4 linked regions of the Drosophila melanogaster genome follow. The protein of the gene in region 2 interacts with the protein of the main gene of each other region in a pairwise test. Each region holds a gene or a part of one and is shown on either strand. Other genes may lie near its edges. The genes, in order: CG30122, CG7879, Rbp4 and gsb-n.

The links.
Region 1: the proteins of CG7879 (region 2) and CG30122 interact in a two-hybrid assay, tested with the Drosophila melanogaster proteins (one large-scale study listed by BioGRID).
Region 3: the proteins of CG7879 (region 2) and Rbp4 interact in a two-hybrid assay, tested with the Drosophila melanogaster proteins (one large-scale study listed by BioGRID).
Region 4: the proteins of CG7879 (region 2) and gsb-n interact in a two-hybrid assay, tested with the Drosophila melanogaster proteins (one large-scale study listed by BioGRID).

What each region holds. Positions count from the first base shown.
Region 1 is NT_033778.4:18,631,574-18,642,024, reverse strand, and holds CG30122 (uncharacterized protein), read left to right. Parts: upstream 1-2,754; 5' UTR 2,755-3,064; coding exon 3,065-3,206; intron 3,207-3,407; coding exon 3,408-4,178; intron 4,179-4,285; coding exon 4,286-5,137; intron 5,138-5,203; coding exon 5,204-5,685; intron 5,686-5,753; coding exon 5,754-5,882; intron 5,883-7,083; coding exon 7,084-7,255; intron 7,256-7,739; coding exon 7,740-8,599; intron 8,600-8,661; coding exon 8,662-8,833; intron 8,834-8,897; coding exon 8,898-8,971; intron 8,972-9,038; coding exon 9,039-9,203; 3' UTR 9,204-9,697; downstream 9,698-10,451. Other genes in the region: Ntan1 (N-terminal amidohydrolase 1), read left to right, coding at 1-166, 229-390, 453-578; CheA56a (chemosensory protein A 56a), read right to left, coding at 1,223-1,711, 1,778-1,831; zda (zonda), read left to right, coding at 10,401-10,451.
Region 2 is NT_037436.4:1,564,260-1,571,346, reverse strand, and holds the start of CG7879 (uncharacterized protein), read left to right. Parts: upstream 1-2,738; 5' UTR 2,739-2,929; intron 2,930-3,037; exon of another isoform or gene 3,038-3,150; intron 3,151-3,544; exon of another isoform or gene 3,545-3,819; coding exon of another isoform or gene 3,820-5,175; intron 5,176-5,779; coding exon of another isoform or gene 5,780-5,794; exon of another isoform or gene 5,795-5,955; intron 5,956-7,066; 5' UTR 7,067-7,087. Other genes in the region: CG12003 (uncharacterized protein), read right to left, coding at 3,820-5,175, 5,780-5,794.
Region 3 is NT_033777.3:13,652,749-13,659,246, forward strand, and holds Rbp4 (RNA-binding protein 4), read right to left. Parts: upstream 3,647-6,498; 5' UTR 3,557-3,646; coding exon 3,515-3,556; intron 3,454-3,514; coding exon 3,197-3,453; intron 3,133-3,196; coding exon 2,849-3,132; intron 2,737-2,848; coding exon 2,041-2,736; intron 1,954-2,040; coding exon 1,946-1,953; 3' UTR 1,808-1,945; downstream 1-1,807. Other genes in the region: Hrb87F (heterogeneous nuclear ribonucleoprotein at 87F), read right to left, coding at 5,719-5,816, 5,889-6,498.
Region 4 is NT_033778.4:25,048,422-25,055,642, reverse strand, and holds the start of gsb-n (gooseberry-neuro), read left to right. Parts: upstream 1-3,311; 5' UTR 3,312-3,634; coding exon 3,635-3,692; intron 3,693-4,019; coding exon 4,020-4,333; intron 4,334-7,221.

The sequences.
Region 1 (10,451 bases), on a different chromosome or scaffold from region 2:
TTGCGTGGGCGAGCTAAATACCATGATGCGCGGCGAGATCAACTGCCCCATCATCTATGGAGTGGGCGTGAACATCAAGACTGGTGAGATCTTTCCGGCCTCCTTTCCAGACCGAGGACCCGACCGGGAGCTACGCGATGCTCGCATCTTCATGGGCGCGCAGTCGGTAAGTAAAGGCCAAAATTTCCCAATGAGTTAACCTGCTAATCACTTGGCTGTGCTTCATAGGTTCTGGATATATACGACTCCTCGCTGGGCATGCTACGCATTGGACCCTTTAACTACGATCCTTTGCGCGGCGCTGATCTGTGGCTATCACAAACGGATGAGTTTCTGTTGCAGCACCTGTCCTCCAGTCCAGACGTGGAGCCGCCTCACTTTGCGCCTCAGGTATGCATATACTATATACTATATGTTTCTGTGCAGACACATAAGTTTTTTTTTAATTGCAGACGCGTGCCACCATTAGGTTTATACAGGAGAATCAGTTCCCCGCCGTCACCGTTTTCAGGGACAATCGGCCGCGCTACTTCCGGCGGGATGACGCCACGGGCTTCTGGGTGCTGGTTAGATATTAAAGCTTATTTTAGTGTTTAGTTGTTACGCAGTTCGAAAATGTCGCAGATGTGTTAATTGACTGGTGCATGTGTTAATTGTCGCTGTCCACCGCAAATGCTTCTGCTTGCCTTTTGTTTAAGTTTTGATCGTTAAGTTGATTGTATTCGGCTGTAATTGTCATTGATTTCCTGATTAATTTGTATCTGCTGTAATTATCGGCCGATTAGCAATAGCAATTGATGAATGCGACATACATAATCTCTCTTCAATTAGATACAAGATTGAGTTCCGACGCTGGAGACGGTTGCTTGGGACGAGCCTTAGAAATGGATCTGAACTGGGAACGTAAAAGCGATATATAACGATAAATAATTATTACAATTCTATGTGCAAATGTGCATGTAAATATTTATGTGAACCCCATTAAAGAACCTATTACTATTTAAAAGAGATTCTTAGCTAAATATATATGCGCATATTCCGTGTAAACGAAACGAAACAATTTCGAATGCAATCATTTTAGCTGTAACTATAAACTGTAATCAAAAATGTAAGAAGAAAAATATATAAAAATGGCTTGGCTATACATACACACACACACAGAGAAATAATTGAGTTTTCATTTATGCCATATATTTTTTCGTGGTATTATAAATTTTTAAGACTATGTGATGATTTCTGCTATACTAATTGTTAACTGAACTCCACCAACACATTCGCCATTTTTTAGATACGAAATGGTGAATCTGTTAAGACCTTTAAAGACAATGGGTGGCCAATCTTCGGTAGAAACAACGCCGTTTTTCACAAAATATGTACCCTTTCGAAAAGGACACATTTCAGCACCGGTAGTGGGTAAATTCGATTCGGTCGATTTTACTAGGAAAAAGGAAATGTAGTAGCGATTGAAAAATTCGCAGGGTTTGCTGGCGGCGGCGTTCACGATTCCCTTGACCCAATATCCATTTTTAAATGCGTGGGATTCGAAAAGGACGTCGAACGTTTCGTCCAAGTCTTCTAAGAAAATAAGAGTTCCATTTATCATGCGGTTTCTACCGAGCAATCGTAGCTGGTATAGAAAAAGGGTTTCGGTACTTCCTTTTACGGCATCTATCGACTCAAAGCGGACTTCATAGTTGCTTTTTTTTGATCCCTAAAAATTAAAAATAAATATATTATTGCCACAAATTTCTTTATTGATTATTTTATTTATTCTTACCACTGACACTGTCCACAGGATCAAAAGGCTTTGTATCATCCACCAAAAAGACATATTCCTGAATTTAAACGCTCCAATTGCGAAATTTTGGATTGTGCATCTTTAACTTATAGATTTTATAGCGACATGAGTATGGCATGTCGATAAAATATATTTCAAATTTAATTATAAGTGAGTGTTAATGAGCACTTGTTCTGCTGAAGGGGCATGGCCACAATCGATGTTACAAAAGTTAGGAAGTTAGGATGTTATAACAAGTTAGGAAAATGGTATAATATAAAAAACATGCAGTTTTTCGTAATAAGTATATTAGCAACGCTGCGTATTAAGTTAGTTTTATTTCAGCATTACATTTTATTAATCAACCTTAAACTATTTTAGCAATTTATAGAAATGACCCAATGGATTTGCAATCCAAGCTTATATTGAAGGTAAGACATCTAGTATTTAAGCATCGGTGGTTCAGTGGTAGAATGCTCGCCTGCCACGCGGGCGGCCCGGGTTCGATTCCCGGCCGATGCAAATTTTGTATACTGTTTTTTTTTTTTGAAATCTTAAATTCGTATTTATTTTATATAGTTTGCAAACTAAAAATAATGAAAAAAAAACATCAATTGCTTGACCCCGACGTGATTTGAACACGCAACCTTCCGATCTGGAGTCGGACGCGCTACCGTTGCGCCACGGAGTCGTTGTTAATGCCTGTGCCAAACAGCCATTATACCTAAAGTCAATTTACGAAAAACACTTTGTTATGCAGGTTTTAATACTATTAATTATGTTTTGAAATAAACATTGACTTTGCCTATTAATTTTTATTGATATAGTATTTACTACAAATCATTCAATCATTAAATATTTTCTTGCAGCGCACATGCAAACGGTTGATGCACACAAGCGCCTTCTATCGCTAGTGATGTTCAGCCTGTTATCGATAGCCACCAAGCACAAGTATCGAACCCAAGCACGGTAGCTCTACGTTTTCGTTTTCCCAATCGCAGCCAACTTCACTTCAACGCGTTCGGTATAATATTTAGGTCCATTTATTTATTCGCAACAAATGCGAATGTAAAAACGAATATTGCGTTTTAATTGTGCGCGCACGGTGCTAGCAACCATTGCGACTTGACTACGGTGACATTTCCAGTGTGGGTGTCATTTGCCAGACAGCGTGATTTGGCCCGAAATTCCCCCAATTCAGTTTTTCACATCGCCAGCTTTTCAGCGGTGCACATTGAGTGAATAAGCGTGTGTGTTTCTGCCGCCAATCCAAATTGAAGCGCAAGAATGGATGTGGCGAAGCTGGAGAAGATGAAGGTGGTGGACCTGCGCAACGAGCTCCAGTCGCGCGGCCTGGACACCAAAGGAGTCAAAGCGGTGCTCGTCGAGCGCCTGAGGGCATATGTGGAAGGAGGAGCCGGCGACGGTGGTAAGTTTGTGTGTATGCGTCATTTGACCGCCCGATTGTTCCAGTGTGTATGTGTGTGGGTGTCACTGTGTGCGTGTGCTTTGCCGCGTCCAAGTCATGCTTGTGTTTCGGTTTCTGTTTGTGTGCGACTGAGCGTGAGTTAGTTGTAAGTTTTCCTTATATAATGATAAAGTAATCACATTTCACTTTTCCCGCGTCCAGAAAATGCGCCGGTCACACCAAGCCGCCGTCAGCGTCGCACGCGCTCTATGTCCCGCTCTCCATCGCCGGTGCAAGCTGCTCCCGTGGCCGCAGAACCAGTGCTCGATACTCTCGAAGAGGAGGAGCAGCCGGAGGATAAGACAGTGCCACAGCCAGAACCAGAAAGTGAACAGCCAGCAGCCGAGCCGGAACCAGAACAAAGTGAGCCGGAGGAAGCTGAGCCAGCTGCAGCAGTGACAGAGGACACAACCGTCAACCAAGCGGTCAATGAGGAGTCGCAGCCTGAGCCCGAAGAGTTTGATGAAAAGTCGGAGACAGACGACAAGCAGGAGACAATCGAAGAGGCAGTACCCGCCGTCGTACCACAGAATGAAGTGGCTGATGAACCCATGGAAGAGGATCATGATGCTGCCCCTGAGGAGCAGGAACCTACACAAACTGAGGAGCCTGTAGAGGAGAAACCAGCCGAGAGCACTGTGGCCGAGCATCAGTCAAATGGCGACAGCCAGAAAATGGACGTTGATGAGGAGGATTCGGCCGCCCCGAAAACGGCGGAGGAGACCGAGCCAGCAGCTAAGCCTGAGGATCAGCCCCCGGAACGCCGCAAGCGATCACACAGTCGGTCCAAATCCCGATCGCGCAGTGGCTCCCGCTCGTCCAAACATCGCGGCAGCGTAGGTGACAAGCGTGAGTCAAAGGCAGCGGCCGAGGAACGCACAGTTCCTGAGGACGAGCCAACCATCGAGGAGAACAAAGTCGGATTGAGCTGGCGTAAGTAGACTTGCTGTTTGCAACGAATTCGATACACACATTCCTTAACGTTCAAAGCTTGATCCATCATTCACAGTAACTAATATCCCTTTGTTTTTATATTCCAGTGGACTCTGACTTGCATTTACGCATCGACCCAACCACGTTTGCATCGGCCAAACCCCTGACATCGGAAATTTACTCGCTTATTTGGTCCGGAGCCCGCGCAAACTACGGAGTGCGCGAAGGCAAAGTGTGCTTTGAGGTGCGCCTTTCCGAGGAGTCGGTGCCGGAGAACTCGCACTACTTCCGCGATGAGCCGCATGTGCGAGGATTCCGCGTGGGATTTTCAATGCCCAAGAGCTCCTTGTTGCTAGGCGAGGCCGAGCATTCATTTGGCTATTGCGAGACCGGGCGTAAGGCTACTCAGAGCGAGTTTACCGATTACGGCAAGCCTTACCAGCTGGATGACGTTATCGGCTGCTATTTAGATCTGGAAAGTGAGCCGTGCACAATTAACTACACTCTGAACGGCGAGGATCTTGGAGTTGCGTTCGAGTTTGAGAAGAGCATACTGGGCGAGGAGGGAGCCCTGTTTCCGCACATCGTTACCAAGGGCTACGAATACTTAGTGAATTTCTCTGACACCGAGCAGCTGTTGGTGAATGCCGAGAGGCCCACGCGCAAGCGCCGCAAGCCACGTAAAGACGAAGACAAGGATAAGGACGACGATAAGGATGACAACGATGGCGAGAAGTGGAAGGTCTTGGACGAAGCCACGGCGGATGATGATGAGGTGGAGAAAAAGGATGAAGATGGCAAGGCTTCTTCGGAGAAAGATGAAGAGGAAGCCGAAGATCCTGAAAAAGCCAAAGAGGATGAGGCGGCGCCAAAAACGGAAACAGAAGCCGAAACTAAAGTCGAGGCTCCTGCTGAAGCTGCTAAGCCCGAATCAGAAGCTACCGAGGCTTCGGAAACTGGTGAGTAATGATTGATTGAAAATCAGTTATCCCACAAAATGCTAATATTTTGGGTTTTCCTTTTAGCTGAAACTTCTACCGAAAAGTCGTCAGAAACTGCAGCTGTGTCAAATGGTGATGCTGCTGCAGAACAGGCAAACGATGAAAAGGCATCTGAGGATAAGAAACCCTCCGAAAACAATGATGAAGAAGATGAGGATGGCCCCTCGCCGAACAAGCGACCCAAAACCGATGGAGATTCGGAAAAGGCTGAATCCGAAAAGGAAAAGGACAGGTCGCAGACGACCGAAGATGAGTACGAGGATGTCGTGCCCGAGCCAAGGGATACAGCTGCCCTGCTGGAAGGCTATGTATTGATCGGCTTAGTACCTGTCGAAAAGCTGGTTTCCGGTCCACAACGCGTCGGATCTCGCAAGGAGTGCGAAGTCATTTTACTGGTTGGCTTGCCAGGAGCCGGAAAGACCCATTGGGCCCATAAGCATGTGGCCGAGAATGCTGACAAGCGTTACGAGTTGATTGGACCCGACGCATTCATTTCAAAGATGACAGTAAGTTGGTTAATAAATGTACATAGCTAGGCGCTGAAGATATTCAGTACTGACCAATATATTTGCAGATCGATGGCGCCTCTCGCAAGACTGTGCACAAAGGTCGATGGGACAAGGTGTACGAGATATGCTTAAATAGCTTGGCGGCTCTGGAAGATATTGCCATGAAGCGGCGTCGAAATTTCATACTTGATCAGGTAAACCATTAACAAATGACCTACATACACCCGAAACAAAACACCAGCCCACAAACACACAAGATTACACTATGAACGAACGATAACCAAACACAAAACGAAACAAGCGAGAATTATACGTTGATGATGACTTTGGCGCCCACCCAACACACTGGGGCTCTGATCCCCTCGGGATTGAGGGGTTCCACCAGCGGGGCACAGCAATGTTGCGCTATATATTTTTTAATTGTACATTTGAGTATGCATTTTTTTTTTGCTCATCGCTCTAACTTAATAGAGTGCCCAAGTGCCCCTAGAAGGGGCACCAACGTGCAGGTATGTCCTAATTGTAAGTCGATCCGATAATTAGAGTGCTTAAGTTTGAGGCAGTAAGTATCTGTGGACTTCCCATTAGCTTAAGTTTTACGTGCAGGCGCAACAGTTGACGGGGCAGTTAAGAGGGAATTGTAAGAAAAGTGGGGATGGAAGTGGATATGGATATGGAAATGGCATTGGAGAAAGATGAGTGAGTGTAATGGAATGGAGTGAAGTAAAGTATGGAAGAAGGAGGAGGAGGAGGAGCGAGCGGCATGGATGCCACTGTAAGTAGACAAACACAAATCCGATCGACGAGTCGTTCGCCTACAATCTAATCACATATACGTATTAGTACCTACTATCTCTACTCTATCTCTCTCTCTAAATGCCAACTATTCTCATATATATGTATGTGTATCTACAGAAAGCTATGCGATGCTTCATCCTACAGCCAGCAGCACAGCCAACCGCGACTACTTTTCCCCCATAGTACATTCTGTTATCCTTATGCAAAGTATTAAGTCAACTGTTGTTAGATGTGGCCGGGTTAACATTAACCCGTCGCCGCCCCCTAGGTATTATGTTGGTGTGCGCGCACCGCTTCCGTAAGGCCCCGCTCCCTTGCCGGCGGAGTGTGGGCGGGAAGTGGGTGTCCCGCCGTGCAACAGGTATGTGTTAGATTATAAGCGCTGAAAGCAAGCGAGCTCAATGCGAGTTGGGTTCGATCCCGGTAGACCGAGGTCTCCAACCGAGCCGTATCATCAACGTGTTTCTCAAGTTCGACGACTGTCCCAACAACAACCAAACCAAATCCAACCAAACAACAACTGGCAGACAAAATCTGAACCCAATTCAACCAAACAACACCAACCAACCAACCGATCAACCAACTGTATTCTTGTAGACCAATGTGTATGCCTCGGCCCAGCGACGTAAAATGAAGGGTTTTAACGACTTCAAGCGAATTGCGGTCGTTTGCATACCCAGCGAAGATGAATTGAAACGTCGCATCGCCGAAAAAGAGGAAAAGGGAAATGCTTTTACAGTTAAAGAATCAACAATTAATAATTTACGAGGTAAATATTATCCACCACACCAAAGCAACGAATTGAAAAAAAAAATCCAGAATAATGTACGATCGTATAACTTATTATTCTACCTATCTAAATAAGGAGGCATTCTTGTTAAAATGAAAAACATTATAAAAACTTATGTAACGTATTTAGTTTGTAAGCAGCTGCACTTTATGTATCTATACGTAATTGTAACTGTAAGCCCTTCAAAATATCTCATAATTTGATTATTATTATTACCATTATTCATTAACATTTATTCTATAACAACCCCCACTTGGCAACTGGAACGTATAAAGGATGGACTTTATTCACAACTGGATTTCTTGAAAATCGAAATTTTTGCGCCCTTTTACGTTCGGTTGCCAAAGTTGATCCCTTCTTTCCCTCTATACTCCATCTACAATAATTCCTAATCTGTAATGATAATGAGCGATTTTAGCAATTGTGCAGCCTTATTGATGATGTACACGCAATCTTTTTCCAGCCAACTTCACACTTCCCTCGCTGGAGTTTGGCTGGTTCGATGATATAAACTACACGGAGCTGACTGGTGACGAGGCCAAGAGCGAGGTCAAGAAGTACAACGAGAAGGGCAAAAAGGCCATTGACGCGGAGAGGTCGCGTGACAAGAGATCCCGAGGAAGTCGCGACAACTATCGTCGTGATGACCGGAACCGGAATCGATACAATGATGACCGACGTCGTGATTATGGCGGCCAGCGGCACGAAAGTCGTTGGAGCGACTCCCGCAGGGGAGGCGGCGGTGGCGGTTACTCCAGCAATAGTGGTGGAGGCGGCAGTCGTGGCTACGACAATCGCCGCAACTACAACAGCGGTAGCGGTGGCCAGCAAAATTGGGTGCAGAACAGCCGCAGAAGCGGGTACGATGATCGCGGCTATGGTGGCGGTGGAAGCGGCAGTCGTGGATACGACAATCGCAACCGTGGATACGCAGGCGGCAGCGGTGGTGGTGGCGGCGGCGGCGGTGGTGGTGGTGGTGGTGGTGGTCAGCAAAACTGGATGCAGAACAACCGCAGAAGTGGGTATGACGACCGCGGCTACGGCAGCTCGCGGGACTATCGCGATCGAGACCGTGGCAACGACCGCAGTCGAATGGGCAGTAACGACCGGAACCGGGGCAGCAGCCAGAGTAGCTATCGCTCGGGAGGTGGTACTCATCAACAACGGGATTTTCGGCCTGGCCACCGCGACACCAAAGAAGATAGTCGCGGTGGCTATGAGCGGTCAGCTGGTCAATCGCTACCCAAGTATGGCAATAACACCGCTGTAGGCGGTGGCTACGATCAGTACAAGCAACAAGGTGGAGCACCTGGCGGAGGCAAGGTAAGTGTGCGACCAAATCCTCGACGCATGACAGCTGGCTAAGATCTCGATCGTTCCTGTAGGCCTCCCTTAGCGGCAAGTGGAGTACGTACAGTCAACACCATCAGCAACAGCAGGCGCCGCAGCATCAACAAACGGGCATCTGGCAGACTCAGCAGCAGTCACAACAATACCAACAACCTCAGCAAGCAGCGGCGGGCCAGCAACAATACTGGGCCTATAACCAAATGCAGAGTAAGTGACGCAGTGTTCGACTGCTTAAGGGCGAAGACTATACGAGTTATGTTGATTCTCCCAGCAGGTTATGGCAACCAACAGGCCTGGCAGAGTGCCGATCCGCAGCAGCAACAACAGTGGATGTCCTGGTGGCAGGTAAGCAGGAGGAGTCTTATGAAAGTCATTGGAAGCGAGAATACTAAAGATATTGTTTCTTTAACAGCAGCAGCAGCAGGGCTCTGGCGGAGCAGCGGCTGGGAATGCCAGTGGCGGATCAGGCGTAAATGTCGGCGGCGGCGCTGGCAATAATGATGGCGGTGCCGCCAATCATTACTGGTCTCAATATTCGTACTCCACGCAGTCCAATGCGGGTGCCGACAAGAAGTAGAATGCAGCAACACTATGCAGCCGTGTTCCACCAGGCCCAGACCCCTCTGCGTTGTCCCGAAAGGAGTTAACCACAAATCTGAACTAAACTTTATATAATAGTTTTAAACGATTAACGAACAGTAAAACAAAATTAATTTAGTTTAGCCAGTTTGGGCTAGTCGAAACCAAACAATTGCGAGGGCTAACCAAACCCTAAGTCAAAATTCTTACCTTACCTTCGGATGGATTGTACAAAACTAAGACTACATATATCATTTGAAATTGAACGTGAATGTTTCGCTTTTCATTTTCCACAACGCATTTTCTATATGACAGTGACGAAGCAATTGAATGAAACGCGGTCTTTACTCTGGCACTACGTATCTAGGCAGTACAACTTGTTTTAACGTTTATTACGATTATTGTTTTATTTTTTACAATCAACGCAAACAATTGAAATGAACGCATTAGAGAAGAAACATTAACGAATAAATCTATACATTGAAAAAATCTATTTAAACGATCTTATTACTGGGAAAGGGTGTGTAATGCGCTCGCATTTTAAAGGACAAATCGTTAAAACACGATAAACAGCTAATTTTAAAATTTACATTAGGCCGAATGCAATTTAAGAAATATTGGAGTCTGCAAGTATGTATTTTCTAATTTAGTGTTTAAAACAGTTTTATTAAACTAAAAACTAACGTTTGCTTTTTTTTTTAAATGTATATTTTTATTTCCAAAAAAAAATTAGTAAGTTTGCCTTAGATTTCAAACTTAAGTTGTGCTATGAGTAACTGAAATTCAAAAAAATAAAGCAAAGGATATTTGTAGCTAATAAATATTTTCTAAAGATAAGCTGTTTAAATAATAAACTAATGTGATAAAATTTTTACTTGAGTCACTACCAGTGCGGCTTAGCGGAATTTTCGGCAAACGGGCACACTGCAACTTGGTCACACTGGCTAGCTGGCAGAAGTCCGTAAAATTATTTTTCGTTTCCCAGTAACTTTCTTGTCGCATTTTGCTTTTGAAATCAAATTAAATCATTTTTTTTTTACCAAAATCCGATATCACAATCAGATACTGCTGTAAGTTGAGATTAGGTGTGCCGTTCTGAAACCAGCAAACTCGACCAACCCTCCCACTTTGCCTTTGCCCTTTGTTCCGAGTTCCACTGATTTACATACTTTCGCCTCGCCAAGCATAGGTAATTATGGATACGGAGAAGTCTAGCAGCAGCTCCTTCGAGGACCTGACCAACGCC
Region 2 (7,087 bases):
GGAACAAAAACAAAAACAAACAAAAGAGTTGGCGGCGGGCGGCGGGTGGTGAACGGGATTGGGTTGGGATTTTGGGAGCAGAGGGACAGAGGCGCGCGCATTAGATCATCACGCAATCCAATATTAATAATGGACTCTGGCGCAGCCAAGGAAAGTTATGGCCACCTCCACACCCACCTTCCACCTTGTCTCAGGGTCACTTCAAACTGCTCCATATCGATTTCACCCGCCTGGGAATGCCAACCAATCAATAGGCGAGTGCAAAGCAAGCAGAATGAATTACATATTTGATAGATCTTGAGTCCATTTGAGTGAAGTTTTTTTTTTTAAATAATCTCGAATGGGGAGCTTTTTGAGCAGCGATGCTATTGTGCGTACAAAAATAACCGAAAGTGCAATGGATACAAATAAACTGAAAGTTCTGGTGGAACGGAAACATATGGCAGTTCAAGAGGATTATGGGGGCCAAGAAATGCGATAAGCATTCGAGGAAACAGGGGGGAAATACAGAATAATGTTAAAATCTTGCGTGGAATCCACTTACTCTAATATTCCAAAAAGGCAAAACCTACAAATCGAAGTGAAATAGAATTGAAAATATCGGAAATGACGAACAGGAAGTAAAATGAAATGTCAAAGTTCCTTGCTGAACAGTGGGAAAAAAGGGTATCGCCCATGGTAAATTCCGATATTATTTATTCAACACCATTTAAAAAAAAAACTCTTTTTTTGAGGAGTGCCTTTACCAATCATTTTTAATAACATCAAGTACAAGATAGCTCGAAACACTGACTCACCACTAAAGGGTTGGGAAACACTAAAAACTTAATAAACTTAACAAAAAAAAGGTGTAATAAACACCTTTTTTTATGATTTAGTTTTAACAAATGGGATATTTTGTGATTATAGAGTCATTTTATCTCCAGAAATGGTATTCAAATATAAAAACTCTTTGGATGTTTTGAATACTTATGGTATATTGTGAGTATTCCAGTTGTGCTGACAAGAGTTTCCCATTAGGGGAATAAAAATCACGTTAATGATAACGAATGAGTCACGAACTCGTGCAAAAGTTAATAATACTCGCATTGTTGAACTCGAATTTGTGAGCAAAACGCAAAGCGTTAAATGTTAAACGCTTGAAATTTGCTTACGAATCTCGGCGACACCGAAAGCCAGAAGTAAATGGCCAAAAGAAGAGGCAGAAGAAGAGTGAGAGAAGGCTAAGCGAAACACAATCAGCTGCACAAAGAAGAAGCAACAACAAGTTGCTGCTGGCGGAGATACACAGAAATTGGCCAAGCAAAAGTCTCCAAGCGAAGAAGAGTCTCCAAAGGTGGCAAGAGACGAGTAAAAGCCATATTGCGATGATTGTGAGGGAAAAGGAGGCGCGGTAAGTTGGTAATTATGGAGCAGGGTGTGTTGGAGGTCGGAAGCCTTGCTGTGGGGCTTCAGTGGGTAAATTGAATTTCAGGCAAAAACAAAAACATATGCAGCGTCAATAAACCATATGCGAAACGACCTTTTGGAGAGTGGGGAAAGAAGAAGACTCGAGCTTATCTTCATTGCTCTTCCACTCACGCACACACAAACACACACAAGTACACTAACACCTTGCTTATCAATGCAAAAGTACATTGACAACAACGAAAACACAGAAAACGAGCTCAATAATTTCGTCATCGAATCGGGTAATCCACAACCTGCCATTTCAGGGAAAACAACTTTTACACAAACACACACACATGCAGAAAACCTGCACGCACAAACTGAACAATTCCTTTTTTAATTGGTACGCTAATTACCTTTTTTCAAATGCAACTCTCCACGCTTTAGAGCGTTTTCACAGTTGCAAATTCCGTTTAATTTCGCTGCACCCGTTTTATATAGATTTTCAAATCTCAATACGTTTTTCTTTCTTTTTTTCACCTGACGCCAGTCGCGTCGCCCACTGACGTCGTCGCTCTTGTTTGGGGCTAAAAGAATGGCCTACAGCGGTTGACTTATGGCCGCGGCGGTACGCAATATGTTTGCCAATGTTTGAACACGATTCCTGGATGTTTTTTTCGCGGATCGTGGGTGTGAAAACAGCGAAGGAAAGCGGAGCAAAATAAATGAAAACTACGCACGAATCGTGTTGGTGTGTGACCTAACTACACTAAGCGCTAAAATCTGCGTGCCAATACATAAAAAATACCGAAACATATGTTTTACAGTATTTGCGTGGGAGTGCTGCGTAGTTATTTTCTTTTCGTTTGCTAATTAAATACCACAAGTGTTCACACTGTGCATCACGCGCACAGGCGCATCTTATCACTTGCGCTCCGCTTGACTTCGGATAAAATAACATAAGCAATTCCAACTAATATGGTAACAAACTTAAGTTAGCAGTAACAATTAAATTAACAGGGAAAAATATTTTGTAGCACTTGCACATTTAAGACTCGTTAATGTTCAATTGTTCAATACTCCAGCACAATCTTGCAAGATCAACATATACCATAGATTATATTAAAATTTAAAAGGTTAATAAATGTAATTGTTTGGTTACTTTATTGTTTTAAATAAACGTCATATAGTGACTAACGAATTAGAATTGTTTTTAACAATTAACCAAATCGCATTTCAGAAACCCCTTCATATTTTGCTCACAGGGTGCCCGTGGTCTTCGGAGTGATTTTTTTCTGCTGCACGACTACAGGTCACACTTTTCGTGTCAGCCATGTTGTTTTCTGTCACCAAACCCTCGCAAGCGTAGGAATTACAAAACAGCATTTCACTTTTTGTGTTGCCAGGAAAATATAAATTTTTCAGGCCGATCATCAGCAGGAATAATCAAAATAAATATATAGCAATTGAGCCAAAACAAACCCAACTGTTTTTGTGCATTGGTGGTCCAGAATAAGTGGAGTTTTGAATGGTTTTCATGGTGAGTAAAGTTCATTGAATAAATTCAGTACTCGTACTTAAAACAGCGACACCTCGCCCCCTCCGCTTCTCCTCTTCGTTCGTTTCGCTTCTGCTTCTTCCCGTGGAGATGCTTCAACATCAACGACTTCGAAGCAGCAACAACAACACTGCACGGGAGCGAGAAGAAAAACCAAGAAACTGCTGGAAACAGTGAAAATCGGTTAAAACCATTACCCAAAAGTATGTTGATCAGTATTGATTGGTGCTTAACGACTCGCAGATTCCTCTTTGCGCTCTGTTTCGTTTCGGTGTGCAATTCATATTTTATGCTTAGGGTACAGTCTCGGTTCTACTAGCAGCCCCGTTCCAGATTCGATTTCAAGATGAAAGGCATTATGTAAATACATTTCCGCGAATAAATTGTGTACCGCCTGTCACACATTCGGGGGTAGAAATATATATATTGCTCTTGGTCGTAGTAAATACCTGTATTAGCGAACATACCTGAATTGGCTTTAAACCGAAACATAGGTAGTCCGATACAAAGTCTTGCTTAGCTAGGATCACTCAGGAACTGAAAGATCTCTTATTAACAAGCATGCTAATAAAATGCAGAAAATAAAACAACGGATTTGTTTAGCATTGCCAAGGCAACATATCAATTGGGTTTTATAGCGCTTACCATTAAATAGTCTTAATAGCTGTTTGATCGGAAAACATACCACTATTTCATATTGGTACATAACTTTAAGGCTATCAAACAATTTTTAAAATATATTTCTATAATTATAAATGATATATGGATAAATGCAGCCACAATGCTGGCTTCGATTGGCAATTTTGATGGTAATCTCCCTCTAAGAACTATAATTTCGACTGTTTTTAAGAGTGTACACTTAGTTTAAGTTTTCAATACTTTAGACCACGCGATCGCAGCGTGTTGGGACGATTTGAGCCACCGCCAAAAATGCTCGTGCGGAAGTTCGGGGTCTGCTGTGGATTGTTGTTACCCACGAGGCCAGGTTGCCCGGGAATCTGAATCGGGCCCGGAGTGCTGGGCGCCCTGCTGATGCCTAGGCCGTTGTTTCGCAGCCTGGGCGCCACATAGGGACGCTGGCTGGTGGAGATACCGCCCGTTCCCAGAGGCGGCAGGATACCTCCGTTTGGAGGATTCACCACCGGAGGCTGTTGCGGCTGCTGTGGAAGATTTGCATTGCCCTGAGGCTGCGGTTGCACTATAGGCGGCACAATCGAGTTCACGGAGGAGTAATTGGGAGGCTGAGGCTGCTGCTGTTGCACCGGAGGCTGCACCGTGATCGGCGGAATCTGCGTCTTCTTTGTGAGCGCTGGAGCCAAGTACGGGTGGTTGCCACCACCAGTGCCACTGCTGTTGCTCTGCGGAATGTCGTAGGTGCGGCCTGAAGGCGTGGTCACTTGGATACTGTTGCCAGGCTGCATGCCACAGGGCTTTGGGTAGTCGTAGCCATTTGGCACCGCTTGGACATAGTTGTCGAAGTACTGGCTCACCTGATGCATGGGCGTGGAGTAGTTGACGGCGATCAGCGACTCCTTGGTTCGTACTCCCGAGCGGGCTTGGGCGTGGGCCGCCTGGAGGCGCAGGATGTTGGCCTGCTTAATGTGCGGCAACAGTTCGGCATCACCCTTTATCTTCTCGACCACAGCCTCGTCGCTATCGATGTTGCCACTGGGTACGATCCCGCCCTCGCTTTGCTCACTGGCTCCGGCTTTCTTGGTGGTGGTCTCCTCCGCCGGCTTTTGCAACTCCTTCGGCACCCTTTCCTCCTTCTGGCTGGGCACCTCCTCCGGTTTCTTTTCACCCTCGGGCTTCTTGCGATTGACAAACTCGAATAGGTCATCTATGTCGGGCACATCGGGCAGTGCTCCGTAGGAGTCAAAGTTGTCTCGGAAAGCACTTGCCCACTCCTCGCTCTTGTGCAGACTGGGATCAATGATCAGTTTCGGCTGCTGCTTGTGGTTGTGGCTGCTGGCGATGGAGGATCCCAAGGCCGCAGCTTCTTCGGGCGCCGAAATGCCTCCCACATTCTTGATCACCGTGATGGTCTTCACGCGGGTACCCTCCTTGGAGTCGATGTTGGTGGCTGCGTAGCTCAGGCTGAGATCCCTCTTGGCCGGCTGCGGCTCCACGGCGGGCTTATCCGGGTACTTGATGCTGATTATCGTGGCTCCATGCACGCCCACCAGCAGCAGTAGGCCCAACGCGGCCATTGTGTGAAAGCGGGCAATCTGGGAAATTTGGTTTTCTAGTTATAACTCTCTTCATTTGCACTCTTTCGTTTTCGAATCCAATTTGGGTTAGTAAGGCCCTAGTTTTTGTGATCATCTTATTCAATTTAATAAGGGATTGTTGTGATTGGGGCTTTAATCTAATACTAATTTAAGTCCCGCCTATTTAGACCTTTAATCGAATGATGTTGGTAAGTTCATCAAGCGATTCGTAAATGTTATGCAAGTCAATCCAAGGAAATAATCAAGTTTTAAATTGTGTATTGCAGTGGTGGTCTGCATGTTATTCTTTTAAATGTGTTATGAACAGAGTTTGGAATAAATCAGCAGTAATAAAGATTGAATCTCTTATTTCAACTGGATGGCACTGCAAGTTAAGTCTATCGGTCATGGATAAGTAAGAGGTGAAGATTGTTTGGTTCAAGTGAAGACCCGATCAGAAGTCGAACAGTAAGTTGCTTTTGTGAATCAAACATGTTGTTATGTAAAATCGATCGATTAGCATGTAGTCCAAGGATATGCTCAAAATCACTGCCACCAAATCACTACTCCTATTCATGGCACACTTTTAAGGGTAATAATCCCATGCACATCGATCACTCACTTTCGATCTTCTCATCGCTTTAATCCTTCGCACATGCGATCGATCAATCAAATGATCCGATCGTTTAACGATGAAATGAGCAATGCGATGCGATGATAATTGTGACGAGGATCAATGACGGCCGACTGCGGCGGGCAAGGAGACGGTGACGGTGACGGTAACGCGGTCAATTCGAATTTCCTACTGCCGGCCGAGATGGCAACAATGCTTTTTATATAGCCAGGCGGAAGGAGTGGAGCTTCGGTTTGGGTTTCCTGTAGCTCCCCGGCTCTGGATATCTAAAGTCTTTGACACCGAGATACAAACAATCCGACAACGAGCCAATCGCATTAGCTCAGAGCACACAACTAGCAGGCCGATTGAATTAAAGCTGCATAATAGCTTTCCCATTACGTCCAAAACGATCAACGAGTTTTCTCCAGCCACTACTGTTTTGGGAAAGCAGTTGCCGCCGATCCTCCCGCCAGCCCCGAACTATTGATCCCTCATCCTCCAGTGGACGCTGCGGAGCCGTCTCGTCGGCACATAATTGAGTGCGACTAATGAGGAAATTGAATCTGGCTAATGATCGTGGAGCATGTGGATCTGTGGTAGCTCCAGTGGGTGGCTGCCTGTTAACCACACAGCTTAAGTAGAGATAGTTTTCTTTTTTCTACACAATGCCTCATGTCCTTGGTAAGATCATGTGCGAAAGTCACCAGCTGCTACTGTAAGTGAGACATCTCAATTAGACCTTTATTCTGGCGAAAAGCTAGGGAGAGAGTAGCTCCTCCTAGCTGGCTGGCTGCAAACTGGTCGTCTTACGCAATACCAAAACGCACGCTTGTCTTGGCCAGCCTCAAAGATTGTCATGAGAAACTGCCATGCGAATCCATGAAATAGTGGGTCTAATGTGTGTGCAACCGAGCGATCAACTCGAGATTTAATCAGGAGCAGAGCACAGCTTTTCCCCCAAGGAAGTTGGAAAGTAGTAATGTAGGAAATACAGAATTGCCAGGCGCCTACAGGGTATCATCTTATTGGTCTTCTGTAGTTTTTATTAAAGTCATTGTTTAATCTAAATTCTTCCGAAAGATTTTGGTTAAAACTTGTGTGATCCGCTGATAGTGCATAAGCATCTTATATTGGAAGATTAGCTGAAGGGTATACAATGAATGTTAAGTGATTCATCAATAATGGATTGCAGCGGTCTGTTCTCTTTTATTCCTTAAACTGAGCTGAAATCTTTATTTTAAGACATTTCATTTTGTTGGTAAATCCTCCATAAGTATGCGATTATCGTTACAGATTTAAGAATCCACGGGCAGC
Region 3 (6,498 bases), on a different chromosome or scaffold from region 2:
AGCCTGTAAACCTTTTGCTACTTAAATCTAATTTGCAGACTAGCTAGTCTATATAGGTATCGTATCGGTTCGAAACGGTTCGGTTCGCTTCGAATCGGTTTGGATCGGAAGAGTGTGGAGATGAGAGCGTGTGATGAGGGCAAATGCGGTGCCGGCGCCGCAGGTGGGTGCGTGTTCGATGCAATCGATGGTCAGGAATAAACGGACGGACGGACGGTCAGTGTTTTCGCTTTTCTTTTATTCGTTCTGTGTAATAAGTTCAAGGTCGTAAACCAAACTAAGTCAAGCAACTTAAACGATTTGGTGTTTCCAACGCAGTTGTGAACTAAAATTTAGTACATATTTTTTAAATAAAATCAAGAAAAGCCCAAAAAAAGAATGAAACGAAATGAGTAGAGAAGATGTGAAGCATATAAACACACAAGAACCTATTATAATAAATAGTTGGGGGACGAGACACAAGCTACTAACATTTTTCTCAAGGTAAAACAAGCAAAACATGTAACAACAAATATATACAAAATATATATAAACAAAACAAAAACTCATATAATTTAATGTTAACTTTTAGACTTACCAGAAATCTAAATATACATAAATATATATATATATATATTTATATAACTGCTGCTGCAAAATAAAAATAAGGCAGAAAAGCGATTAGGAAACTGAAAACATTAAATTCGTGTGAGCATCATTTGAGTTTTGTCGCAGGCGTCCAAATATATATAATTGCCCAAGTTATTCTTGTTTTGTTAAAGCTTAAGGACTTTTAATTCGTTGGGAACATATCATTTGTTTTTGTTGTTCGACGCCTGCCCTAGAGAATCAATTGCTAAATCAATTACAATCGCAATTTCCACAACTATTTCTATATAACACCACGCATTTCTAGCACTGTGAACAGGGTCTAAAGCAATTTTAGTGCATTTTTTGTAAAACGAAAGTGTTAGTGTTCAAACCTTAGCTCAACGATCAGTGCTGAAAGTGCTCCGTGGCCAGCAACAACATCATAGAAATAATAAACAAACAAAAAAAAAAATAAGAAACATGAAAACAGCATCAAACAATACAATACAAATCAGAGGTACTAACTAAATCGATGTAAGAGTAAACGAAAAACAAACAATTAGAGTTCATGCTCATTTCTAAGTAAACCGATGAAATCACAATACTGCAGTTTGTAAAGAGTACAGAGAAAAGGAGGGAAACACTTAATTATAATTTAATTTATATGTGTACAACTACAAAATAACTATAATAATAAAAACCAATCACAAAGATTCAGCGTGTTTACCAGAAAACTTATGATTTTGTTTCATTTCAAAAAAAAAAAAAAAAACACACACACACATTTGTTTTGGATCGGTTCGTATTTCCTTTTCTGGTAAATGCGTTTAAAAGAAACACCAAGTCGTAGATTTAGAAATCTGAAAGGAAAAACTCACAAGGATATGTAATTTTACTTATCAAGGCGACTTTACTTATCCAGCGACTGAATCCAATTCCCATTTGCCTTTGTGTTGAAACAACTGAAGAACTACTGAGCATTCAGCATTTAAATGAAATTGATGCGCACAAAGCCGAGCAATCGATAGCAATTTGCATAATTTTAATTAATAACAAGCCAGTCGAAGAAGCCAGCCCACAAAATTCCAGTCACAATTCATTGGTGCGTTTTATAGCGTTTCAGATATAAAACATTTGCGAAAAATCAATTCACTCATGCAATACATGCAATACTTTAAATGGAAACAAACATAAAAAAAAAACCAACAGAAATAGTATAAATAAAGAACAAGAGTTTACGATTTTAAGTCTCAAAAGGACCCGTATGCTTTATTATTTATTAAATATCTTGAACGGAATCGCCTGCAAATTATTGTAGTAATAGCATTAAACTGTGGCAGTAAATTGGGTTTAACTGCGTTCCATCGTCCGCCACTTAGATACCTGCAAGAATAAAAAGATACTTTAGATTCTTTTCTCTTTCTTAAATTAAATTTAAATTTAAATTAAATTTTAAGGAAAAAAATGAACCGTAGGGTGGTGTTGTAGCCTCTTTGCCGATCTTCGGAATCACTCCGTTGGTCGGAGATTTAGCTGGCTTGAAGACCTTATAGTCCTGGGTGGGCCACTTCTTAATAGCTCCAACTCCCACGGCGGCACCGCCAGTCAAACCCAATCCCAAGCCAGCTCCCGACATGCGATCCGCGTCGCCACGGGCGCCGAAATCCAGCTTGTTATTGAAAGTAGCTGCCTGGAGTTCTTTCAAATCGATTTTGGCACGATCGTTGGTCGATGTCTGGGCATGTTTGTGCCCGGCCTTCGGTCCCCATTCGGCCACTTTGCTGGAAGTCCACTCCTGGGCCGAGTAGATACCGGTCTTCGGATAGGAGGACCACATGTCCGGACCGTGTCCGTTGAGCGAGTGCTCTGCCAGCTGCTGTGACGGCAACGAAGCAGCCATGTTCTGTCCGGGTGTTGGCTTGGGTGCCATCGGAATTACATAGTGGGCCCAGCCGTTAGTGAATGCCGATGGCGGCAGGACGGATTGGGCCAGATAGGGATTGTAGTTGGGATTGTTGTAATTGTAGCTATCAGCAGTGGCCGGCTGGGGCGGAATGTAGCCGGCTCGAACCGAGCTAAATATGGGGAACCGAAAACGCCTGTCGGCCTTCTGGGTGGATCTCTTCACCTCCACCAATGTCTGAAGAATCCAGTGCTTGCGCGGTGCTGAAAATCAAAGCAAGCAGCGTTATCATCAGATTTTAATCTATATCATACTTAAAGGTAGTTGAAAAAAATGCACGATGACTTTCAATAAATGAGAAACATGGAAACTTACCCAATGCCTTCTCGGCACTGGATGGATCCACGAACTCGAGGAAGCCAAATGCCCGCTGACGTCCGGTCTCCCTGTCCATGAGCAATTTCACGCTGGCCACAGGGCCAAACTGCGAAAAGTATTCGCGTACGATATTCTCATCGTGGTATTCCTTCAAGCCGCCCAGAAAGATCCTTTTCGAGTTCATGAAACCGGCTTCACAGCCAAAACTTCCGACAACGGAACCAACGCCGCCACCCCTTTTGAAATCTTGACGTGGCAGTGCGTGCTTGGTCTCCACAATTCTAAATTAATTAATCAACTTTTTATAGAATTAGGGCAGCGAAAGATTATTAGAGAACTACTCACTTATTATCAATGGTGTGGGGACGTGCCCTTTGGACAATTTCCACGGACTTGGGATCCACATAGGTGACGAAGCCAAAGCCCCTAGAATGGTTGCTCACCGGATCCCGCAAGACCACCGCATCGGCCACGATACCGAACTGACTAAAGAATCCGCGCAGCGTTTCCACGGTCGTCTGAGTGGATAGGCCGCCAATGAAGATCTTGCGCAAATGCTCGTAGCCTTCTTCCTTAATGGCCGTCTTTCCGTCGCCTTTGCACTGCACACACACAACGACTTTCGTTGATAATTATGAATAGTTTGGGGGATTATGAGCTTACATCTCCAAGGCAGGCCGACGAGGCACAATTTCCCGCATCCATTTTCGAAGAGATGTCAAAATTAAAATAGCCTGATTTACTACAGCACTCAGGTGAAGCCAACCACAAATTGAATGACAGGCAAGAAAATCCAAACGTCTATAGTTATGGACTATCGAAAAAGGTCCAAAAATATTGTTGCCACATTTAGATGATTCAGCATTATTGGATGCAAATGGGCCAATAAATCGATAGGGTTTGAATCCTTAAAGCGTAACCCTATAAATCCCTATAATATCGCCTCTTTTGCTTCGTAGTCCTAGCAAAAAACCCTACTTATGCATTATTAGAAGAAAAACCCCATTGATCTCATAAGAATTTAGTTCGTAATACAATCCAGAAAGCTAGGTCCTTCGAAAACCGGCTATAATCCACTGAACATTTATGGTATTCATAGAACAAATTGTTCTTGGTAGTGAAAGTTCTTGTCACTTTTAGATGATTCAGCATTATTGGATACAAATAGGCCAATAAATCGATAGGGCCTAAACCCTTATACGTAACCCTATAAAATATCGCCCCCAGAAAATAAAATACAGCTCTTGTTCTTGCTAGTAAAAGTTGTACTTTATTGAAAAATTCAGAAACAAATGAGGTGTTAGTAGAATACCGACTAGTTACCTTCACTTACCTCCGCTGTACCCACCAAGTTAGCCAGAAGGGAGCCACCAACCAAAGTCCACCAGTGAGTTCTTCCTGGGCCACCGCTTGCTTTGCGGTCTAAAACCATTAACTAATACCTGGTGGAAACGAACCGGTGCGTGGAGCAGCCCAGATTTCGTATACGGACCCGGGAGGGAGCTTCCGTCCGTAGCCCGGCCAGTCTTGCAAAGAAATAGTCAGTGCATTAGTATGCGGCGGTTTGCCCGGGGGTTAGGTGGTGGGGGTCTCTAGTGACGGTAATTAGCCCTGCCCGCTACCCTGCCGATCTGGGATGGATCGGAAAACCCGGATTTTGCTGCAGTTGCTGCTCCTCTTTGCTAGGGCATTGCTCCTGTGATTATTTCGTTTCGTTTCATTTTGGGTGGGTAGGTAACATTGGTTAGGATTTTATTTTGCTTGTATCTCTTTGTCGCTTTCGTTTCACTCGTAACGAACTAATTACAGAATGTTTGTGATATTTGTTTAGCGTTTTTCTTTTTAGTCTGGCTTAACGTAGCATCTACTTCTTAGGGACTAACAGAGTTGGTATGCATATATGGATTTTGCTCGCTAGGACACCATTTCTCGGCCACTGTGCAGCCTGTACACAAATGTGCGTGGCATTCGCATTTCAGGAGTTGGGATCTTACTTGCCACAAATCATAAAGGTTCTTAGTTGTACAAAAAAAGTGATTACAAAATATGGTACTATTTGATTTCTTACATTTCGCTGGATCGCTAAAAACAATAAAATCATGAATAAATATAAAGAAAGTGCTCTACCTTATAACACCCTTACAACGACTGAATCTCAAGGAGAATCCGTCGCCGCTCAGTTGGTAGTCAATTTTGTACAATAAAATTATTGTTTAATTTATATTTTGTTGTGTTTGTTTCTTTTGTTTGTTTATGGTTAAAACTAAGCGTTCGGGGTTCTTAGGACCCTAAACATAAATCGATCAGCGAATTATTAATGGTTACAAAAGAGAGATAGCAGCATTCAAACTGTGGACAAGTGGCGTCGATTGGATTTCGTTTCGTTTCGCTTTTGGCTGTTTTGCTTGACGCATAATCATTTGCTTGGTGCTTTTGACAAGTGGATTATGGCTATAGCCTGCAGGTTGCGGCCGGACCCAAACCTGATTGATTGATTTATCGTTTGCATTTGCGCACGGCCTGGTTCTTGGTTCTGCATCTTGATTTCTTGGTTCTGATCTTGTCTGCCTGGTCTGACACACACATGCTACTGATTGCCTGCCTGTGAATGTGCTTGTCCCTCTGCATCTGCCTGCCTAGACTGCCTGTTTGTCGTCTAGCTTGAACTGACACACTCTCTCTCTCTATGTGTGTTTACCTAGTTGCGAAAGAGGAGAAAATTTTGCATTAGCTTCGAATCGTTCCGAAATGAGTTTGATTGCATGGCTAGGCTACCAACTAGCTGCCAATAACGACCAAAGATCCGAGCGTTTGAGATTGTACGATGGGATAGGACCTGTCGTCCAGGTTATCTATATTTACCTTGTCTAGTAACGTCTATTGCCGCCTCCCATATTTCCACCCTGGCCACCACCTCCGGTGTTGTAGTTGTTGCCAGCAAAGCCTTGACCTCCACCCTGGTTACCTGTAAAAAATAAATGCATGGTTTAAGTACATTATGTACATTATGGTCAAATCACTTAATAACCCAACATACCCTTGTTGAATCCTCCACCACCACCTCCTTGACTGTAAGGAGCTGGACGGTTGTTGCCAAAGTTGCTGTTGCGCTGTGGACCGCCGCCGTAGCTCTGCTGGTATTCATTTCCGAAGCCACCGCCACCACCACCTCCACCACCGTTACCGCCCCAGCTGCCATTGCTGTTTCCGCCGCCGTAGCCGCCGCCACCACCACCGTTCCAGCCGCCGTTGCCGCCACCCTGGTTATTCCATGGACCACCTCCGCTTCCGCCTTGCTGATTCCAACCGCCAGAGCCGCCGCCCTGACCGCCTCCAAAGTTACCGCCGCTGTTGCCGAATCCTCCGCCGCCGCCAGCTCCGCCCCAGTTGCCCCCACCGTTCTGTCTGTTCTGGCCTCCCCAGCCACCGCCTCCCTGGCCGCGGTCACCCTGACCACCGCGACCGCCAGCTCGAGGACCTCCGCGTCCGCCACCTCCGCCCTGTCGATCCATATCCTGCTTGGCAATAGCCTTCTTCACGTCCAGGGTCTTGTTCTTGATGGAGTGGGTCTTCTGAAGGATGATTTTGTCAACGGGATCGTAGTCATCGAACTCAATGAAGGCGAAGCCGCGCTTCTTGCCGGTGTC
Region 4 (7,221 bases), on a different chromosome or scaffold from region 2:
GGAGTGGAAAGGCCATGCGTGTGAACGGGGCAAGATCAAAGCTCATGCCGCTGCCACGCACTTGCAACTGAAAAAGGGACGCAGCTAGAGTGCGAGCGAGTGGAGTATCTGTTTTGGCTTTCAACTGTTGCTGGACAATGCAAATGCCAAGGCTGGGTTCCATGCAGTTCGGTTTCACAATTTAATTGCAAATAAATTGACTTTTTGGTACTTCATTTAAGCGAAACACGCTAAACCTTCCCTGACCGTCGGATCCATCAAAGTCGTCTGGGGATGTCTTTCTTGCACTGCTTAAAGTTGGCTTAATGCGGCTTTCTGCGACCACAAGACATTTAAACGATTTTTTTTACATGCAAATAAAACGGTTTCCTATCCATCTCGACGAAAGTGTCTCTTAAGCACTTCTCGCAATCTTTACCAATCGTTCCTGGAACTTTAGTGTTTAAATTTAACCACTTGAGTCCCGCCGTACAATGAGGTTCCGCTAACTGATCCATCAAAACTCCGTTAGAAAACTGTCAACAGATGCAGAGGAACTCTGAAATTTGAGACAATGTTAAAAAACGTCAGTACCCAGTGGCCAAACGGAAGGCACAACAAACAGACTGGCGATCCCACAAATATTGAACAATCGCATATGACGGATCGCTTATCCATCTGGGCCAGGACAAGTGAAAATTAGGTACAAACACGCACGCATAAACAAATTTAACTCCTGTATGCTAAATTTGCAAGGCAAACAAACGTCGTCGTTGGTCCCACCGGTCCCTGCCTAGGATTGGGAAGACACAGCGGCGGTTCAAGGACGACGAAGGTGTCACATCAACGGGGTGCCGTAGAGCACGGTAGCACAGCAAGTGGCGAACAGTAGGCTGGAAAATTTAGTTACCCGATTGGCATTTGGTATTGCTTGGCCCCAGCAATCGCCAGATGCTACTGGACCATTCTGGGAAGTCGCCACCTATTCATAAGAGAGCATAATAATGTGAAAAATTCGTAAGCGTCCGCCTGCTTTCTTACGATATTTCAAAGTGGTTTACAGCCTCGTGAGTTTGAATGAATTTGACTGTACTCACACTAGCCTTTAACAGCCTCTTATAATGCAGGACAAGTTCTATGCATGCCCTGCTGGCGACAAAATTTACAGCCTTCTGTAAATCACGGTTGTGAAGTGTGGCCAACATGTGCTCTGATTCAGGGAAAACGATACATAGAATTTGGCTTCAGTTTACGGCATTCATAAAAGCCCATCAATAGCGTGGCAATGAGGAGACGTTTTCACGTATACAGATACAGATTTACAACTATAGTAATTTGTTTAAAAGTCGTTTATAAAACGTTAATTGAAGGTTTTGTTGACGAAATATTAACTTAAAAGAGTCCCAAAGACGGTGAGCAGTATTCATTCTTTAGCACTTTTATATTGTATAAAAAAAGTGATTTTATAAGGGCATCCTTATATAAATTAGTCGACATATTGAATTTGATTTTCCAGTTCTTGACTTTGGAAAGTGACGTACGAAAAACGAAACTCTATACATTGAAGAACCCAAATGGCAGCGTTTGGCTCGTATCAAAAGTTTAAATTCTGTCGTTGCCACGCATGAGGAACTCCGATAATTGAAAACTGTCAATACGCATATTAGATAATTTGTTATGTTTATCATGAGCCTGTTCTTGTGGTTTCGCTTAGAAAACAGGCGGAGACACAATTAAAATATGCCTTGTCCTAGGACGTCCTGTTTGGCTCATTTGCATGGCAAGTTCTATTGCCGATGTTGATGAGGCGTACCGGTGCACTCAAGTGGCTGTCCATACGGGCTCCTTGCACAACGCTTCATTAACATCGATTTTTATGCTCATTATCGCAGGGACTCCAGGTCGGCTTAGCAGATAAATCCTTCTTTGGAGAGTCCTTGCATATTTCTTCAGCCTGCCAGCTCATTCTGCTCAATTCGGTTTCGGAACGCAGCACTAGTAATATTATTGTATATCAGAAATTTGCATGCGGCCGGCTTTTACAAACATACTCCAATACGAACCAAACACAGGACGACGAGCGGCCATTTTTAGGCTGCGTCCCTTCCCTGTCCCTGTCTCGCCCTGATGCCAGATGCAGGCGGCATGTGCGTATCCTTAATATGCGTAAACTTCACGCTTAATTCTCTACATTATGATGACGTCCTTTCGCTGTTTTCGCTTTTGTTCGTTGGTTTTTCAATTTCTCAAAACTGCAGACCGTTCAAACTGTACCAGGTGTGAATTTCTTTGCTGTTAATAGCTGTTGATTGATTTTTGTGTTTGTATATTGGTAATTGACTTTCGTTGCTCGGAGAACAATGTGCTGGATGTGTTTACTAGTCAGGCTTTTGCTTGTACACAGTATCTAAGCTTTGTTATCCTTCAATCATGAATGCATGATAACCAATGAATGATATTAAAGCTAATCCGCAAAGGGTCATCATTAAATTACATTCCATTCCATTCAATTAATCAAATGCAGAATGTTATGAAAGCCCTGAAAAAAATGAGAGGATAAGGCAGAAAGCTAAAGGAAACTGAGACCCCATAAACATTTCTGTCAAAGAACTAACCTAACTAGCCAGAAGCTAAAGGAGGGTGCAGACTGCAAAATGGGATAAACATATATTGGAAGCACACGACATGGAACTGTGGGTGCTGAAAGTAACAAAACCGGAACGATTGGTACTGGGATGTGGTGCTGGACTTGAGTTTGCGATTGGGCTTGGTCGTGGTCCTCGGCATGTGTCCTGTGCTCCCTGCAGCCTTCACGGTTTAATTGGCTGCCAGCGATGAAATAAAAGTCATACAATTCCCACAATGCTCGGGGACAGCTGCATTCACAGAGTGATCAAGCGAGTGTCGTCAGGGGGGTTGATGTGCGGATGGATTATGGATGCGATGCAGTATCAAAAGTCGGGCGAGCTGAGCCCAGATCCGCCCTGAACCAGCTCAGCCAATCACGTCTTTCGAGGCGTGGCAATTCCTCGATTAAAGCGCGGTCAGCTCACTACCGGCTCTCTCTTTCTCTGCTCGGCTGTGAGGCTTTGATCGGTGCCATATTGTGCCTGGTCGTGGCGCTCCAGTAGGCAGCAACCACCGAAAGGGCGGGCGCGAAAGCTGCTCTCACTCTCCCTCCTGCCAGCATCTCCATCTGCGTCTCCATCTGGCGGTGGTTGTTCGGCGCGAAAACCAGTTTGTGGAGCGATCTCATTGTTTGCCCGTCTGCGGAGTAGTCGTAGTCATCGCCCGGACCGGCCGGCCCTCGTTAATTTATGCTCGCGCTTCTCTTTAGTTGCTTTGCACGTCTCGTGCAGTTTGATCGCTGAAGCGCGCGTGATTCCAAGAAAAATCCCGCTTCTCACCACCGGACTGAGAGTTGCAAAGTACCGTCGGAATCGGGAGCCGCCCGTCGTAGTGATGAAGTGGGTCCTTTGGGCCAGCTTTAAGTGATTTCCCACAAGGAACGACAGCCTACTGATCATAGCTCATTTCAAATATAATTGTGCAATGGTATCGACTCGGATGCACTAACCTACCGAAAATAAAGAAAGTTTTTTGAGTGCAGCGTCGCTTAGATTCTCGATTGCTATAAGCTCTTTGCATTCGGACCATGGATATGTCCAGCGCGAACTCGTTGCGGCCCCTTTTCGCAGGGTATCCCTTTCAAGGTAAGTAATTTCAACATATATCATATCATTTATACTGTGTATTTCAAAAAACTTACCCCTTGAAATCATGCGAGACCTAGACTTGTTTACATTTGAACCCTATTTCCCTCCGACGCCTGAAGAGAATACATTCCCATGAACTCCTTACACGTAAGATAGTACGGTACATATGTATACACTATAATTAAGGAACAGAATCCATAATGTCTTTTAAGCTACACATTAGGTTAAGTTCAGAAGGAAGTGAACGATTCCTACTGACTAATGAATAATAATAAATGATTTGACTTATCAGTGCTTATGCCAATTGATCTAACTTGCCCACAGGACAAGGCCGGGTAAATCAGCTTGGGGGCGTCTTTATCAATGGACGTCCGTTGCCCAATCACATTCGACTGAAGATCGTGGAAATGGCGGCCAGTGGAGTGCGGCCTTGTGTAATATCGCGCCAGCTCCGCGTGTCTCACGGCTGCGTATCGAAGATTCTGAACCGATACCAGGAGACGGGTTCTATTAGACCGGGCGTAATAGGTGGATCTAAGCCCAAGGTGACCTCTCCCGAAATTGAAACGCGGATCGATGAGCTGCGAAAGGAAAACCCCAGCATATTCAGCTGGGAAATACGCGAAAAGCTGATAAAGGTGAGTACCGAGATGCACCTGCAAGGTTGCAGGAAGCAATAAAATGTACCAAAACAAACGATGCGAGGATTTGCAGGACCTGCCGGTAGCCTTAACCGCATGCCAATATGTCCAGATAGAAGAGGGTCAAAATACGCACCGAATGCGAATCAGTTTACTTCCGTTTTCCGAAAAGTCACGTGGCAGTTTCGTACCGCCCGCTGGCTTTGTTATGGCACGTTGCCTATGACACCTACTGGCCTTTTGCATATGTCGGCTGACTAGCTGCACAGATGGCCCAAACTGACCAAGGACCCAGTTTGAACTTGCCCGCTCATTGACAATATTGTTGAACAACAGCGACGACAAATTTTCGCTTGCCACCCAAACCGTTAAGAAATCAATTAAACCATAAAGACACCGCTTCTGTCGTGTTCCTTGTCGGCATCGTTTGTGTTTTGTCCTTGAGGCGAAAAGGTGCTATACGAGAATATATTTATATGATTCTTCGCCGTCGGGACTTCGCTTCCGGTTTTGAGGCGTGAAAGAATCGGTCCTACATCAAAACATTAAAATGGCTCGCATATAAGTTCGTTTCGTTTATTAGATTAACAAAATTTATAATTAACGACATATTCCTTGTCATCTATTCTCTGTTTTAATGTGCCGTCTTACAAACCTAGCCACCTTTGCCAATACTGCGATATTATTTTGCTTCAGATTTGCGTTAAGCTTAAAAGATGAGCACACTTCCCCACACCTTATGTGGCAAAAGCGAAGTCCAACGGGGAAATTGTGTTTCAGCTCATTACTGAACCTACGCCAATATGACTCATTCACAGAGACCAAAAGTCTGGCAAAAGATTTCGGCATACTGCCCACTAGCCGGACCAGCTCCACCGATTCACGCCTGCATGGATGGATGACGGCCGTCTTGAAGTTGATTTTCCCTTTCGGCAAAACTTCTCGACGGTGGAGGGAGTGTAGGGTTTAGGATTAATACAAGCACTAGTGTATTCATGCGCCAGCCTCTTTTGGCGGCATCGTCCCGCTCTTTATTTGAAACCGCAATTAGCCACACTTTATGGGGCGTTAGGATTCGGGCGATCGATACGATCGGACTATAGATCAGAGTCGGCATCACTTCATTCCAAATCCAAAAGATGCGCACTGTGTAATATGCACAGAAAGAAATTTAGGATGGTTTAATTCGCAAAAGTAGTTTTTTAATAAACTAAGTTTTTAGCTTACTATCTTCTTATTTTTTTATGGGAAGAGTGCTGGACTAGTGCTTTATTAATATAAAAAATTAAAAACTGCATTTAAAATTTTATGAATGACAAAAATATGCAATCACATTGCTGTTTTTGTATGACCTCACAATAACAAAAACCGTTAGATCGGGATTTTGATTGTTTTCGGTGTTATAGGCCTTATATTGTGTGCGCTCGCTTTTGCGTGGCAGTAGGCGTAAAAACTGCCTCCAGGTGAGCTTCACGCTTAATTAGAATATGCTTTAGGCATCTCTTGTGTCTTGATTTCATACCTGACCGCGATTACCCCTCCCTATGCCTACCTGATATGACTCGCTTAGTGGCGGCTTATCGACGATCGGGATTTCAGATTTTAAATGTTGTACTTTGGACTTGGTTATGTACAGGCGCTCTTAACTTCGGCTTCCTTTTTAATTCCACAGGGGCTCGTTCCTTGATGAAAATTTCAGTCACCAAATATAATCAAATGTCCCGCTGACAAAGTTCCAGATTCCAAGAAATTTAATTATTAAAAAAACAGAGCGCATCAGTCAGTCAAACTAAAAAACTAGAAAGAGCCCAAACATAATATAGTCAAAAACGCAACACGAATCGGTCATGTATAAAGCGCAGTCAAGTGTCAATCCAACTGTCATCTAATTAATTAAATTTCAATTGAAATTGTAAGCCACAACACGGGCGGATGCAAAAAATGTGTCTCACAGTCGGGGGCTCGACCGAGATCGAGATCGGGATTGGGATTGGGATTGGGATCCAGTTGTCAGTTGCGCCGAGATAAGCCGTCACACATTCCAGCCAAACAACTGGTAGGCCCCAGCCGGAGACCCAACGCGAGTAACGCAACCCAGTTGAAAATCAAAACATTTTTCTGTTGTTGTTTTCATGACACATTCAATAGAAATATGAGCCAGTAGCCAGAAGTCCAAGACCAGTTAGCCAGCCGGACGGTGGCCGCACTCCCAGCATACACTCAAGACTGGACAAAATGTCAGTTTCTGTTTCCGAGCCTGGCGTCATATCTTGTCTCGTCTTGTCTATGAGGTGCCAGTTATGCCACCTTTGTTAGCCGGGGAATTAACCGCAGCTTAGAGACACGGAGATATGCCTCCACTCTGCGATAATTTCGTTAGTGGAAAAATAATATTATTAATCATGAAAATGTTTGCGGCACATGCCACTCCATTTGAGGCGAGCCGAGTCCTCCGCCGCTGGGTCACTGTACTTCACCTTATGAGTCTGGCTGCCGAGACGACGGTACCTTGCACAGTCGAGCTTCGTGTGCAGCGATGGGAGCGAACCTAGAGTTAATGGTAAATCCAACTGTCAGTTTTTAGTTCACAACTATGGGAAACAAATAGTTGTTGGGCCGTTTGGTCTGTTAACTTCCAAAATAGTTGCTTGGATATAACTGCCTTAAAAGCGCCAATACTTGTATGCTCAACTCCGAATTTTAATTTGGGGAAACTAAAGCCTCTTTTTCTTGGCAGTTAAAGCCGAAAGCTTCATTTGGCTTGCATAGATCATATTAACGACTTCAATACTTCGCAATCTCGATTTTTTACAATATCTGCAGTTGTATCGTCTTCTAAGAAAGCACGCGACACAATCGTCTGTTGAGCACATAGTCAAAGATAA